3 linked regions of the Ovis aries genome follow. The protein of the gene in region 3 purifies or fractionates together with the protein of the main gene of each other region. This does not show direct contact. Links are inferred from orthologs where the notes say so. Each region holds a gene or a part of one and is shown on either strand. Other genes may lie near its edges.

What was found.
Region 1: the proteins of TNRC6C (region 3) and AGO2 purify together in Homo sapiens (co-immunoprecipitation; 6 studies listed by BioGRID and IntAct, with this or other methods). This does not show direct contact. The link is inferred for Ovis aries from reciprocal best matches to the Homo sapiens genes TNRC6C and AGO2.
Region 2: the proteins of TNRC6C (region 3) and protein argonaute-1 purify together in Homo sapiens (affinity purification with mass spectrometry; 5 studies listed by BioGRID and IntAct, with this or other methods). This does not show direct contact. The link is inferred for Ovis aries from reciprocal best matches to the Homo sapiens genes TNRC6C and AGO1.

Annotation. Positions count from the first base shown.
Region 1 is NC_056062.1:15,983,569-15,987,311, reverse strand, and holds the start of AGO2 (protein argonaute-2), read right to left. Parts: upstream 2,234-3,743; 5' UTR 2,108-2,233; coding exon 2,086-2,107; intron 1-2,085.
Region 2 is NC_056054.1:10,821,677-10,825,419, forward strand, and holds the start of protein argonaute-1, read left to right. Parts: upstream 1-1,453; 5' UTR 1,454-1,663; coding exon 1,664-1,688; intron 1,689-3,743.
Region 3 is NC_056064.1:53,388,646-53,392,288, forward strand, and holds part of TNRC6C (trinucleotide repeat-containing gene 6C protein), read right to left. Parts: intron 405-3,643; coding exon 288-404; intron 1-287. UniProt on the Homo sapiens protein: Plays a role in RNA-mediated gene silencing by micro-RNAs (miRNAs). Required for miRNA-dependent translational repression of complementary mRNAs by argonaute family proteins.

The DNA of each region.
Region 1 (3,743 bases), on a different chromosome or scaffold from region 3:
GACTCATTTATTTTTTCAACCAAAGCTGTCCGATTTCAGAGCAGGTTTATCCACGAACAGTGAATGAGAGGGCCCCTCCCCACCAGGCCACGATGCACAGGCCCACATCACAGCAAGATTCTTCCAAGAGCCATGGAGAACCCGGAACGAGCCTGGAGATCCAGAGAACTAAACCTTTTTGGAAAATAAAACAGACAAGAAAATATCCCAGTGCACAGCACACAGCACTGGCGAGCGGTTCTTCCTGAAGCTCGTGTTTCAATTATACTCTAACACCCGAGCACTGGGTCCAGTCTACATGTAACAGGTGTTTCTTCTTGGGGGTCAAGGTCAAAAGAACCGAAAGCCACTTCTCTAAAGGGAGTGTATGGAGAGTCTGCTTGGAATCACACACATTGTCCTACTGCTCGCTGGCTGGCTGACCTTCGAAAGGCTCATAGCCTCTCTGTGCCTCTGCAGTCCATCTTCAAAATGACCATCAGCAACTTAGCAAGCTGTCCAGTGGCTCAGTGAACATCAGACACATCACAAAAGCTTGACCTTCCCCAAGGTTCTTCACTTTTTCTGGGCCTCCAACTTTTACATTGAAAATCTGAAAAAATGTTCAGTGTAGTGGCTAAGACTTGCTGGGTTCCTTCAGAGGGATGGACGGGGAGATTCTCACTCACCCAGGTGTGGGGGCTACCCTGCCACATCATGGGTGGGTGCTGCCCACCCGTTCTAAGAAGCCAAGTCTGTCTGCCCCCAGGACTGTGACTGTGACTGGAGCCCTGGGCCTTTCCCCACCAGGGCTGAGTCACCTTCCAGTTAAAACCATTACAGTTAAAACCATTCTTCTATCAAATTGCTGACAGCAATTTAAAAGTTGCTCTGGCTCAGCCTTGGAGAAGCTTTCTAACTAAGTGACATCAGAAAACAAGACAGTGAGTATTCACAAGGCACAGGACTGTTAGTGAATAGAAAGTGTTAAGGGATCCAAATGGATGAGAAGAGCCTGAAGAGGTCCGGCCAAAGCCCCAGCAGCAGGAGTCTTGGGAGGGCCAGGGCCCACAAAGGGCAGGACCCAGCCGGCAGGGCCTTCAGCCCGCTGGAGCCTGGTGGACAAAGGGGACAGGATATGCCCTGTCCAAGTGGCAGGGCCAGCGGGAAATTTAGAAGCCACGTGCCTGGCGGGAGAAGGGAAAAAGCTTACCAACATTTGACCACTTTCTTGCCTCAGCAAGCTAATCGCCCTTCTACTCTGCATTTCCCCCAAAAAAGTTCTTTAAAAAATGTGTTACTGCTCTAAGTTTTTCAGAACTTTTCTAAAGAAAGGGAGGCCGGCTAGTGAGAAAAGATGCTAAGGAAATCAGCACATCTCCTCACCTTCCTCTAGTTAACTGTAAAAGGCAATTAACACTTGAATAAGGAGCCTGTGTGTCTGGAATGAAAATGAGACGCGCGCAGGTTAGGGTTTTAGGGCGCCTTCCTATCCCTCTCTGTCCGCGGTCCTAACTACCAGCAAGAATTGGCCAAAATTCAGCATTTCCAGACTTTCCTTCGGAGAAGGGGCCGCAGAAGTGCTGGCAAAAAGAAAAACGAAACTGAGAGCGCTCCAGGCTCGCCGCGGCTCGGTCTGCGCCCAGCGGCCGCGCTCCTCCCCGCGCCGCCCGCACCCCGAGTTCAGCGCCCCCGGCCGGGGCCTCTCCGCCCCCGGGCGCTTCGAGCGCGGCCCCGGCCTCGGCCCCGCCGGCCCCGCGCGGCGCAGGGGCCCAGGCGCCGGGCGCAGGAAGCCGGGCAGGCGGGCGCCCGGGCCTCGGGCCTACACGCGCGCCGCCCGGCCCAGTCCGCGCTCCGGCCCGGTCCCAGCCCGCCGGGCTGCGGCGGAGACGGGGCGCGGGAAGGGCCCAGGCCGCGCGGGGCGCCCCGACGACTCGGGCCCGAGGAGGAGGCCGGGGCCGCGCGTCCGCGCTGGGGCCGAGGGAACGGCCGGCAGCCCCCCGCGCCCCCCAGGCCCCCCGACCCCCCGGCCGCGCTCCCCCGCCCGCCCGCGCCGCGCTCGCGCCCGGCCCGCCAACCGCCGCGGGGAGGAGCGCGCGGACTCACCGGGGCCGGCTCCGGAGTACATGGTGGCGCCGCCGAGGGGCTCCGGGGCCGAGGGGCGGCCGCGCGCGCGCCACGGGCCCCGACGCCGCGAGCCGCGAGGGAGCCGCCGGCCGCACGATCCGCCCCGGCGCGGCCGCCAAACAGGTTTACCCGACGCGGCCGGGGCGGCGGGCGGAGGCGGCGGCGGCGGGCGGGCGGGGGAGGGGGGGAAGGGGAGGGGAGGGGGAGGGGCAAGGGAGCAGGCGGGGGAGGGGCGGGGCGGGGCGAGGGAGCGGGCGGGGGCGGGGCGGGAGAGGAAGGGAGGCGCGGGAGGGGCGGGGCCCGCGCGGCGGGGGCGGGGCGAGGGGCGGGGCGAGGGCGGGGCGGGCCCGCGCGGCGGGGGCGGGGCAGACCAGCGCGGCGGCCGAGGCGGGCGCCGGGCACGGCGGACGGGGCCGGCGCCGGCGAGGGTGGCGCGAGGCCCCGTAGCGGGGGCGCACGCGGGGCCGGGGGGACCCTGTAGCCACTCAGAAGCGCGACGCCTCCTCCGACTGGGCGGAGCAGGCGGCGCGGCGCTGCCCCCTCACCCCCGTCGCCGAGACCGGGAAGAAAGAAAAGAAAACATAGCCCTCGCCTCCCCGCGCGCGCGAGCGGACCCTTCCCCATCCCGAGCCCCCACCGCGCCGGGCGACCTGGGGCCCCGTGTGGACGCGGTGCCGCCCGCGCCCCAGGGCCCCGGCATCGCAGCCGGGCTCTTTTAAGCGATAAAGGAGGAAACAGGAATGTCGCGAAGGTTCCTCCGGACCCGGAGCTTGAACTTGAACGCGCCCGGGTCCTCGCACACTACCACACCGCCACCTCCCGGCGGAGAACCTACCTAGAGAATCCCTGTAAAGAGCTTCAGGTTTTGGTCAATTTTAGCCGCTATCCGTGATCAGATCAAACTGTAACTCCTCATTCCAGCCCTCGGGGCCTCCCCTGTTCCTTTACGGACCCCCTCGTGCTCCGCCGTACATCCCTGTGTTCGCCCCCCTCGTGCAGAAACGTTCTCCCTCCAGCCAAACCCTTGCATCCAGTTTTCGCTTTTCAGAGTCATTTCCAGGGAGGCCAGCCAGAGGTCAACACCTTTCTCCCCTGCTTGATGAGGGATTAGAAACCGGAAGGTGAAATACAATCCAAAATTGCTTGTCATCTTTTTAACATATTTGCCTGCTCCTTTCTTCCTCGGGTAAGCAAGTATTATCTGACACCGTGTACCTGTGGCTGTGTTCCGCTGGCCTAGCATGGTACAAAGATGAACGGGAGTTCTGCCTGCAAGCGTCCAATAGGTTTGTTTCTCTCTCTGCAGTTCTCAAGGACATTCTTAAATAAATGCACGAGAATCCACCTGCCCTCCAGAAAGAAATGTCAGAAGGCTTCCATCTTCACCGAGTAATCGATATGAATGAGGGGGTCCCATGGCATCAGCCTCAGAGATGTCCATTCTTCCCCATCTAATCCTCTGCCCACCACCCCCACCCTCATAGCCACCCAGACCACCTCTCCACCTGACCCTCATGCTGTGGAAACACAAATCCACAGGTGACCCTAGGCAGCTACTCAGCTGAACGTGTGTTTAGGAGCCCAGGTGGCCTGGGTAAGAAGGTACGCCAGGGTGGGACTGGGTACCATCCCGACGT
Region 2 (3,743 bases), on a different chromosome or scaffold from region 3:
CATCAAAAATACAGATGGATTAATATATATGAATGAATATATGGAAAAGTGATGTTTGAGCTGGGTCTCTCAGCACCTATCAGTTGATGCAGAGTGAATAGGAGAAATGTTCCTAGAAACTGAGACTAACAAGGAGGTGACTGTGATACTTTTGTCAAGATATGATAAGGGCCTGCATCAGCACAGGGAGCCTTCACAAGCATGTCAGGAGACCATATGAGCAGGTAAACAGGTCAGGACTTTGTGAACTGCTGTATAGGGTTAGAAGCAAGGGAGAGAGAGAAGCGGTCATTTCTGGGATGAAGGTGCCCTTTGTAGAGACAGGAGGTATAGGGCAAGCACTTTTGTGGGAGCAAAGATAAGAGTTTGGTTTTGAACTCTTAAAATTTGAAGTGCTGGTAGATCCAGGTGGAGCTGTCCAGCAGACACTTGGAAATATGAGTCTGAGACATGGTTGGAAATAGAGATTTGGAAGGATAGTTAAGCCATAAGAATGGATGAGACCTTGAAGCAAAAAAGTGGAGATTAGAATGAGAAGACAGCTAGGTTTGAAAACAAGGTGAACACTTTTTTTAATGGATCAAAAACAAGAGGGGGGGCTCTTGAAGAAAACCGAAAAGGACTTAGGCAATAGGAGACCTCAGAAAATGCTGAAGCCAAATAAAAGACTCAAAAAGGAAGGAGAGGCACAGTGTCAGATGCTGCAGCAAAATAAGAATTGAAAATTATCCTTTGAATTTTGACACAAAAAGTGTTTTAAGTGAGGTGGTGAGGTCAGAAGTGGATTGACTGAATTCAAGCGTGGGCTGTAAGAAAGTGGAGAGGTGCTTCCCAGCCCGTAGGTAGAGCTCAGTAGATGCACTTAAGTTGAGACGGTGACATCTTCCAGGGTAGGCAGGGTCTCTTTCATATCTCTGGTCTCAGCGCCCAGTACTCGGCCTGGAAGAGAGGGTGGCGTCAGTGAGTTCAGTGACTAGGGACGGAGAAAGGCTTCGCGGAGGCAGTCGCTTTGCAGCCGAGGCTTGAAGGATGAGGGTGATTGGGAGGAGAGGTGGGAGGCAGGGCCCCTGGGTGATGGGGCTCTCGGAGTGTGTGAGGGTGGCCTGGGAATGAGGTGGCAATATGCGCGTGGCCCTGTGCGAATGGGGGGAGGTTGTGTGTAGGCTTGGAGGAACGTGTTTGGGGAAAAGACAAGGCCGGAGGCTGCTGCGGGGTGGGGGTTGGGGGTGTGTTGTCCTCCCGCCCCGCCCCACTTACGCCACTGCGCGGTTCCGCGGCGCCTTTACCGGAGCCCTCCCGCCGGGCTGCATGGCGATGGGTGACCGCCAGGGGCCGCTGCCTCCGGTCCCCGGTGCCCCCGCCCCTCTCCATTGGCCTTTGTTGCCGTCGGAGCGCCCCGTTTGACTCGTTCCCGTCCGCCCCCTGGGCCTGGCGGTCGCGCCTGCGCACTGGCAGCTGGCCGGGCGCTCGCAGGGGGAGCTGCTGCAGGCTCCGCGGCGGCGGCGGCAACGGAGGCTGCGGGGGCGGCGGCGCGAGCGGCCGGGCTTGGGGGGGCAGCCGAGCCCGGCCCGGGAGCCCAGGCAGCAAACGTGCGGGGTACCTAGGCCCCTCACGCTGGACTCCACAGTCTCCGGGCCGCCTGATCTCCGCACGGGTATATGGGATGGAAGCGGGACCCTCGGGAGCAGGTAAGGGCCCCCAGGAGCGGGGACGGTGCATGCTCCAAGGACTAGGGGACTCTCGCGTGAAGAGCAGGGTTTCGGAGTGAGGAAGGGTTTCCTGAGTGGGGAACGGGGCTCTTCTGAGATGGGGGGCCCAGTTTGAAGGGGGTTGTGTGCAGTTCCGGGGGAAACCTTGCGAAGGGAAGCTCTGAGACGGGGGCCATTTATCAAAGGAGCCTGTATGCACTCGTGGAGGTAGGAAGTGCTTTGGAAGAAGGGCCTGAACGCACAGGAGGACTCCTGGAGGTACCAGGAGGCCTAGGGAGAGGCCCGGCAGGTGGCAGGGGGCGGGCTCCAGGTGTCCAGGAGAGGGAGGTCGACACAAATGGGCCCAGAGCTGCCGCATGCCCTGGGCGGGGGCTCAGCCGGTATGGGTTGGGCTGGGTTGATGTCTTTTGGGAGAAGGCGCCAGAGCTGGGCTGTGAGCTCCGCCCCAGCCGGGCCTGACGCGGGGGCGAGGGTCAGGGGGCAGTGGGTGGGGATCCAGCCCTGGGATTCCCCCCCTTAAGTCTGGGAGCTGGAGTGGAGGCGCCGGAGCATGCGCGTAGGTGGCAGCTGGAAGGGGCTGCCCGATGTGGTGGGGGCGTGGCCGCCCGAACCCCCCTACCCTTAGCCCCGCCAGGTTGACTTGGTAAAAGGGGAGCGCTGATGGCTTGTAGTCTCTCTTAGGTTATGCTGGCAGGACACAAATGGAAATGGGTCCCTTCCCCATCTTGGGGGTCTTAGGCTTGACTCTGAAACCTTCAGTCTCAATTTGCCAAGACTAGGTTGAGGGAGATGGACAAGTTTCTTATTCCGCCACTAGGATGAGGAAAGACGGATGGGAGCAATGTTTTAGGTTAGGGACAGGTCCTCCTTGAAGACAGGCCTTAGAGAATGTATTGGTTGCTGAGGGACCAAGGCCAGGACCTGGTTTCCGTAGAAGGGATTGTTTGCCTGGTTTGCATGTTTCTGGTTCAATGGTGAGCAGAGTTGGGATCTTTTAATCCAAGGATAATGACCTCTCTATTGAATGTTTCCTGAGTTGACAGCCTAATCTTTCTATGCCTTAATGTTTTTATGGTTGCTTTCCCCTACTGGGTATCTTTTCTTTTTGCTCTCTCTACTCCCCCAGAAATTGTCAGAGCCATGTTATTAGACCCAGCGTTGTCAGGCGAGCCTTTTGTCATATATAAGTTGTATGGGATAGGGGGAAGTTTATAGCCTTCACCATAGTGTGTCCCAGGTGATAGCCTTAACTTCTTATTCACCATCAGGAGAAAAGGAGATTAGAGGGGAAACTGAGGCAAGACTGTCCCGAGAAGGCCAGAGTTCCTGGATGGGGTGAGGGTGGTGGCACCTCCTGTGTCCTAGGCGTCTTATCTTTTTGGTGGGAGGAGCAGTCTGGAATCTTTTAGATCTGTCTCACTACTTCCGTTTGATCTGGAGGGGAGAATAGAATTTCTATTTGGGACATGAATTTTATTTCATTTGGGACATGGATTTCATTTCTGGTTGAAGCAAGCATCTTTGTCTTTTATACCAGATCTTATACTCTTAAGGAAATAACTCCTGCCACTTCATTCAAGTCATTCATTCAGTGATCTTTAAGTACTTAGCGACTACTTTCACCAAGATGGAAACAACCTTGTAAAGGCTGTATAAGCCTTAAGGTGGAATGCAGGGGTCAACTGACTTCAGAAAACTATTAATGCTTCCTTTTTCCCTTAGGCTCCTCTCTCCCTTCCATGAACTCTCTTGGTTTTCTGGGCTGGAGACTACTTGCAGCAACCCCTGGGACTAGAGTAGTAGGACACGGAAGTCCAGACGGATTGGTGGGAGCTGGCACCCATACCAGACTGCTTATGGTTTTATTCTGATGAATTCCGTGTGGTCTCGAGAGTGATGAAAAAATTGACTTTTTGTTTTTGGTTGTTGTTACAATAAATAAGCTTCTAGGGAAGGAACTAGAGCCTGGTATCTGGAGTTGGCTGTAGCCTAATGGGGCAGCCTTTACCTCATCAGCGGGTGTGATTGAAATTC
Region 3 (3,643 bases):
CCGATACATTTAGGCAGTAGCTGTATGGCATCTCTAGCGCTGGGGAGCTTCTATAAGCCCAGGATCTTTGTGACAGGAGGTGTCACCATCCCCAGTCCCCAGAGAGGGGGTGAGCGGTGCCCGAGGCCCTGTGGCTGCTCGGCAAAGCTCAGGCTCACTCTCCATCACTCCATGTGGCCTCCCAGCTTGGAGGGGAGCAAACAGACCACCAGGAAAAGCCAGGCCATCAGTCTTATTTGGGGAGAGAGAGAGAAGGCGACCAGCACATCGAGAGGCCAGGTGCGTACCTGCAACAGCAGGAGCGGGTGCGAGGCTGCTGAAAGCGCGACTGTGGCCGGAGGCAGCGAGCGGCCAGGCACTCGAGGGAGGCAGCGCGGCATTCTGAGATGACGGTGGGGAGGACCCTGCGGAACCAAAGGCGGCACTCTGAGAAAGGCGAGCACGGGCCCGCGGGGGGAGCCACTCAGCCCCGGCGTGAGGAACCCCAGCACCCGAGAAGCAGTCTCCCAGGCTGCGTTTATGGAAGTGGTGGGAAACAAGCGCGACCACAGTGAGGACAGGAAGACACAGGCGCACTGCGCCTTGGGGCGCCCGGGGCCTTGCCAGAGGCCCTGGAGAGGGGCTGGGTGCGGGGTGCTGGAGACCAGGAAGCTGGAGAGGAGAGAATGGCCACAGAGTGTTTTCAACAACACGTCAGGGTTTGGAAGGATCCCGTGGATTTCCCCTTCCAGGTAAGATAAAAATAAAAACTCAGGGCGACCTCCATCTTTTCATACCTCCAACAATACTTACAAAACTGAATAAAATGAAATAAATCTCCAAGCTTTTTGTTACAGATTTTGCTTTAAAGAGACCGGTGCTTTCCCTGACTCCTTGCCAAGGTTCGTATTTCTCTCTTGAATGCAAAACATCCAGGAGAAACAGGCACTGGCGACCGCGTCGATGTGCGCCACTGGGCCTCCAGGCTCGCCCCTCCTGCTGCCGAGGACCCTGTTCCTATCCTGGGAGGGGGGCTGACTGCGTCGACATGCGCCACTGGGCCTCCAGGCTCGCCCCTCCTGCTGCCGAGGACCCTGTTCCTATCCTGGGAGGGGGGCTGACTGCGTCGACATGCGCCACTGGGCCTCCAGGCTCGCCCCTCCTGCTGCCGAGGACCCTGTTCCTATCCTGGGAGGCGGGCTGACGGGTGGGCCCCCCCAGCACCCCTGCCGGTGCATTTTCCGCGTCACCAGGTCTGTTCTCTGAGGAAAGCAGGAAGCAGAAGAAGGAGAAGGATGACGCAGGGCAACAGTGTGCTAAGCTTTTAGTGGGATGGACCAGAGCTCTTCAGACTTGGGAAGGGACTTGGGTGGTGTGCGCAAGCTGGCTGGAAGAGGGTACAGGGCACAGAGCAGTCTGGTAGTCAAGTTTACCACCATGAACAGAATCTCAAAAGACATGGGGCCCCCGATGCAGGGCCCCACCTGGGACGGTGTGTTCAACAACCTCAGGGACTGCCAGGCGTGTGGCACCTCCCAGGCTTGTGCAGTCTACAACCTGTACGGCTGTTCACGGCAGCCCTGGTGTAACTGACCTCCTCAGAACAGGGCACCAGAGCTGATGAACGTGAGGATGTATTTGTAATCTGCAGGTCTTTGATTTTAAAAGACATCAGCTCTACTGACAATCTAACCTTAGTTCCTAAACTCTCTGTTTCTTATTTACCAACAAAATGCAATCAACTTGAGATTCCAAATTATAGACTATTTAACCCAACATGGTACTTCGTTTATAGTTAATAGTAGAGCACTTGGGTTTTTACCGTGTTCTAGTTTGACATTTTTAGTGCAATAGTGGAATCTATCCCATAAAATGATGGCTAATTTTCCTTTTTAGTATCAATTTGTCAGGCGATGGCACAACTGCATTTTACCATCTGGCTAATATTCACCTCATAACGGTTAGCACTATAAATAATATTCAAACAAATATATGGCTAAAGTGAATTTTTAACATCAAATCAGAGCTTAACACCAATGAAAAGAAAACCCAAAACTGTAAATAAAACCCCAAAACCTAAGGTACTCAATAAAGAAAACAGAAAACTCCATTAAGAAAATATGTAAAATGAACAAGCCAACATCCAGGAGGTCAGTGGCGTTTCCTGCCAGGGCATATTTTCTCAAATCTTTTTCCTTTGTAGTTTAGACTAAGCTAATCACTCAAGAATACAACAGCCTTCTGTGGCTGGGCCCGGAGCAAGCTCAGCCCCCGGGGTGCCTGAAGCCCCGCGTGTGGGGAACACAAGGGGGTCCCGGAGAGGGGTGGTCTGCGGGATCTGGCCACGGCCATTTACTCCTGGCCCTGAGGCTGTGGGGCTTCCTGTAAATGGGTTCTACATAGAGATCCGCTCCTTCTGCTCCCTCCTCTCAGATAAGACCAGGAGGTGGGGGCCCTTTCCTGGGCGAGGCTTGGTCTTGCGGTGGAGCTGACTGGGACTCGCCCTTGGGTCACACAGGGCACTACAGGCTCTGTCCTGCTGACGTCCCATTTCTGCCAGGGCCTCGGAGGCTTGGCTTCCCTCTGCCCTGACGTCTGTCCCGACAGCACGGCTCTGCCCTCGGGACTCCCCTGCCCTCCAGGACGCCTGTGTCCGATCACGGCACACAGGTGCAAAGGCGGAGATGGCCTGCGTGCCCCAGGTGCCAGCGACCTTGGGCTGACACTGGACACCGGTCAGGAAGCGCCACTCTGCGCTGAGCAGCCTTGACTCTTTCTAAGGTCTTCTACCGCCTGGATGGCCATGCTTGCCCACCCTCCACAAGCCCAAACACACCGAATCACCCCTTCGCTTGGCACAGCCCTGCAGCCACACGCAGTGTCCCGAGGGGCGAGTCTCCCCCGACCCCCACTACCTCAAACAGGCTCCAGGTCCCGTAGCCTCGAGCCCCTTTGCCTCACTCATCCGTCCCCAGCCGCGGGGAGGCCTGCGACCGCCCTGCTTTTGACACTGCTGCCTCGCCACAGGAATGCCCTGCATTGAAGGAAGAGGTCTACGCTGCCCTCCGACCTGAGCCACAGGCATGCGTGGAATCCTATCACTTCAGAGAACCACCGACAAGGAGGCCTCTCCCCACAGGCCATGTTAGCCGGAAAGCTAAACTAACGTTTCGGAAATACCCGAGTGACCTTGCTAGTGCTGAGCATCGCGGGTAAGCTGGCTGTTCTTTCTGCTACTAGAACGCTGAGGAGAGAGGTCCGTCAGCCCTGGCACTCACAGAGGGCCTGCATCTGTAGGCCTCGAGGGAAGGCAAGCTAGTGCCCTCCTCAGTTCTGCAACTAAACCCGCGTTTATGTTCTGTAACCTCACAGCTCAGCTCATCACTTCTGCCAACTGGATCCTCAAGCCTAAACAGGGTGTGCCAAGCTTTATAGCGTCAGGAGTTTGTGCCAGGAAAAAGGTCCTGGGGAATGAATTCAGTCTTTTTACCAAACATTTTGAGGAAAGGAAAAATTGGCTGAGATGGATGAGTAAATGGCCAATTCACTTCCAGTTCAAAGAGATTTCAAGTGGAAACCTCTTCCTTACGAAGCTTGATGGCTAACACTGTTACTTTATAACACAAGATGTATAAGCACCGTGTATTAATAAATCCAGCAGGGA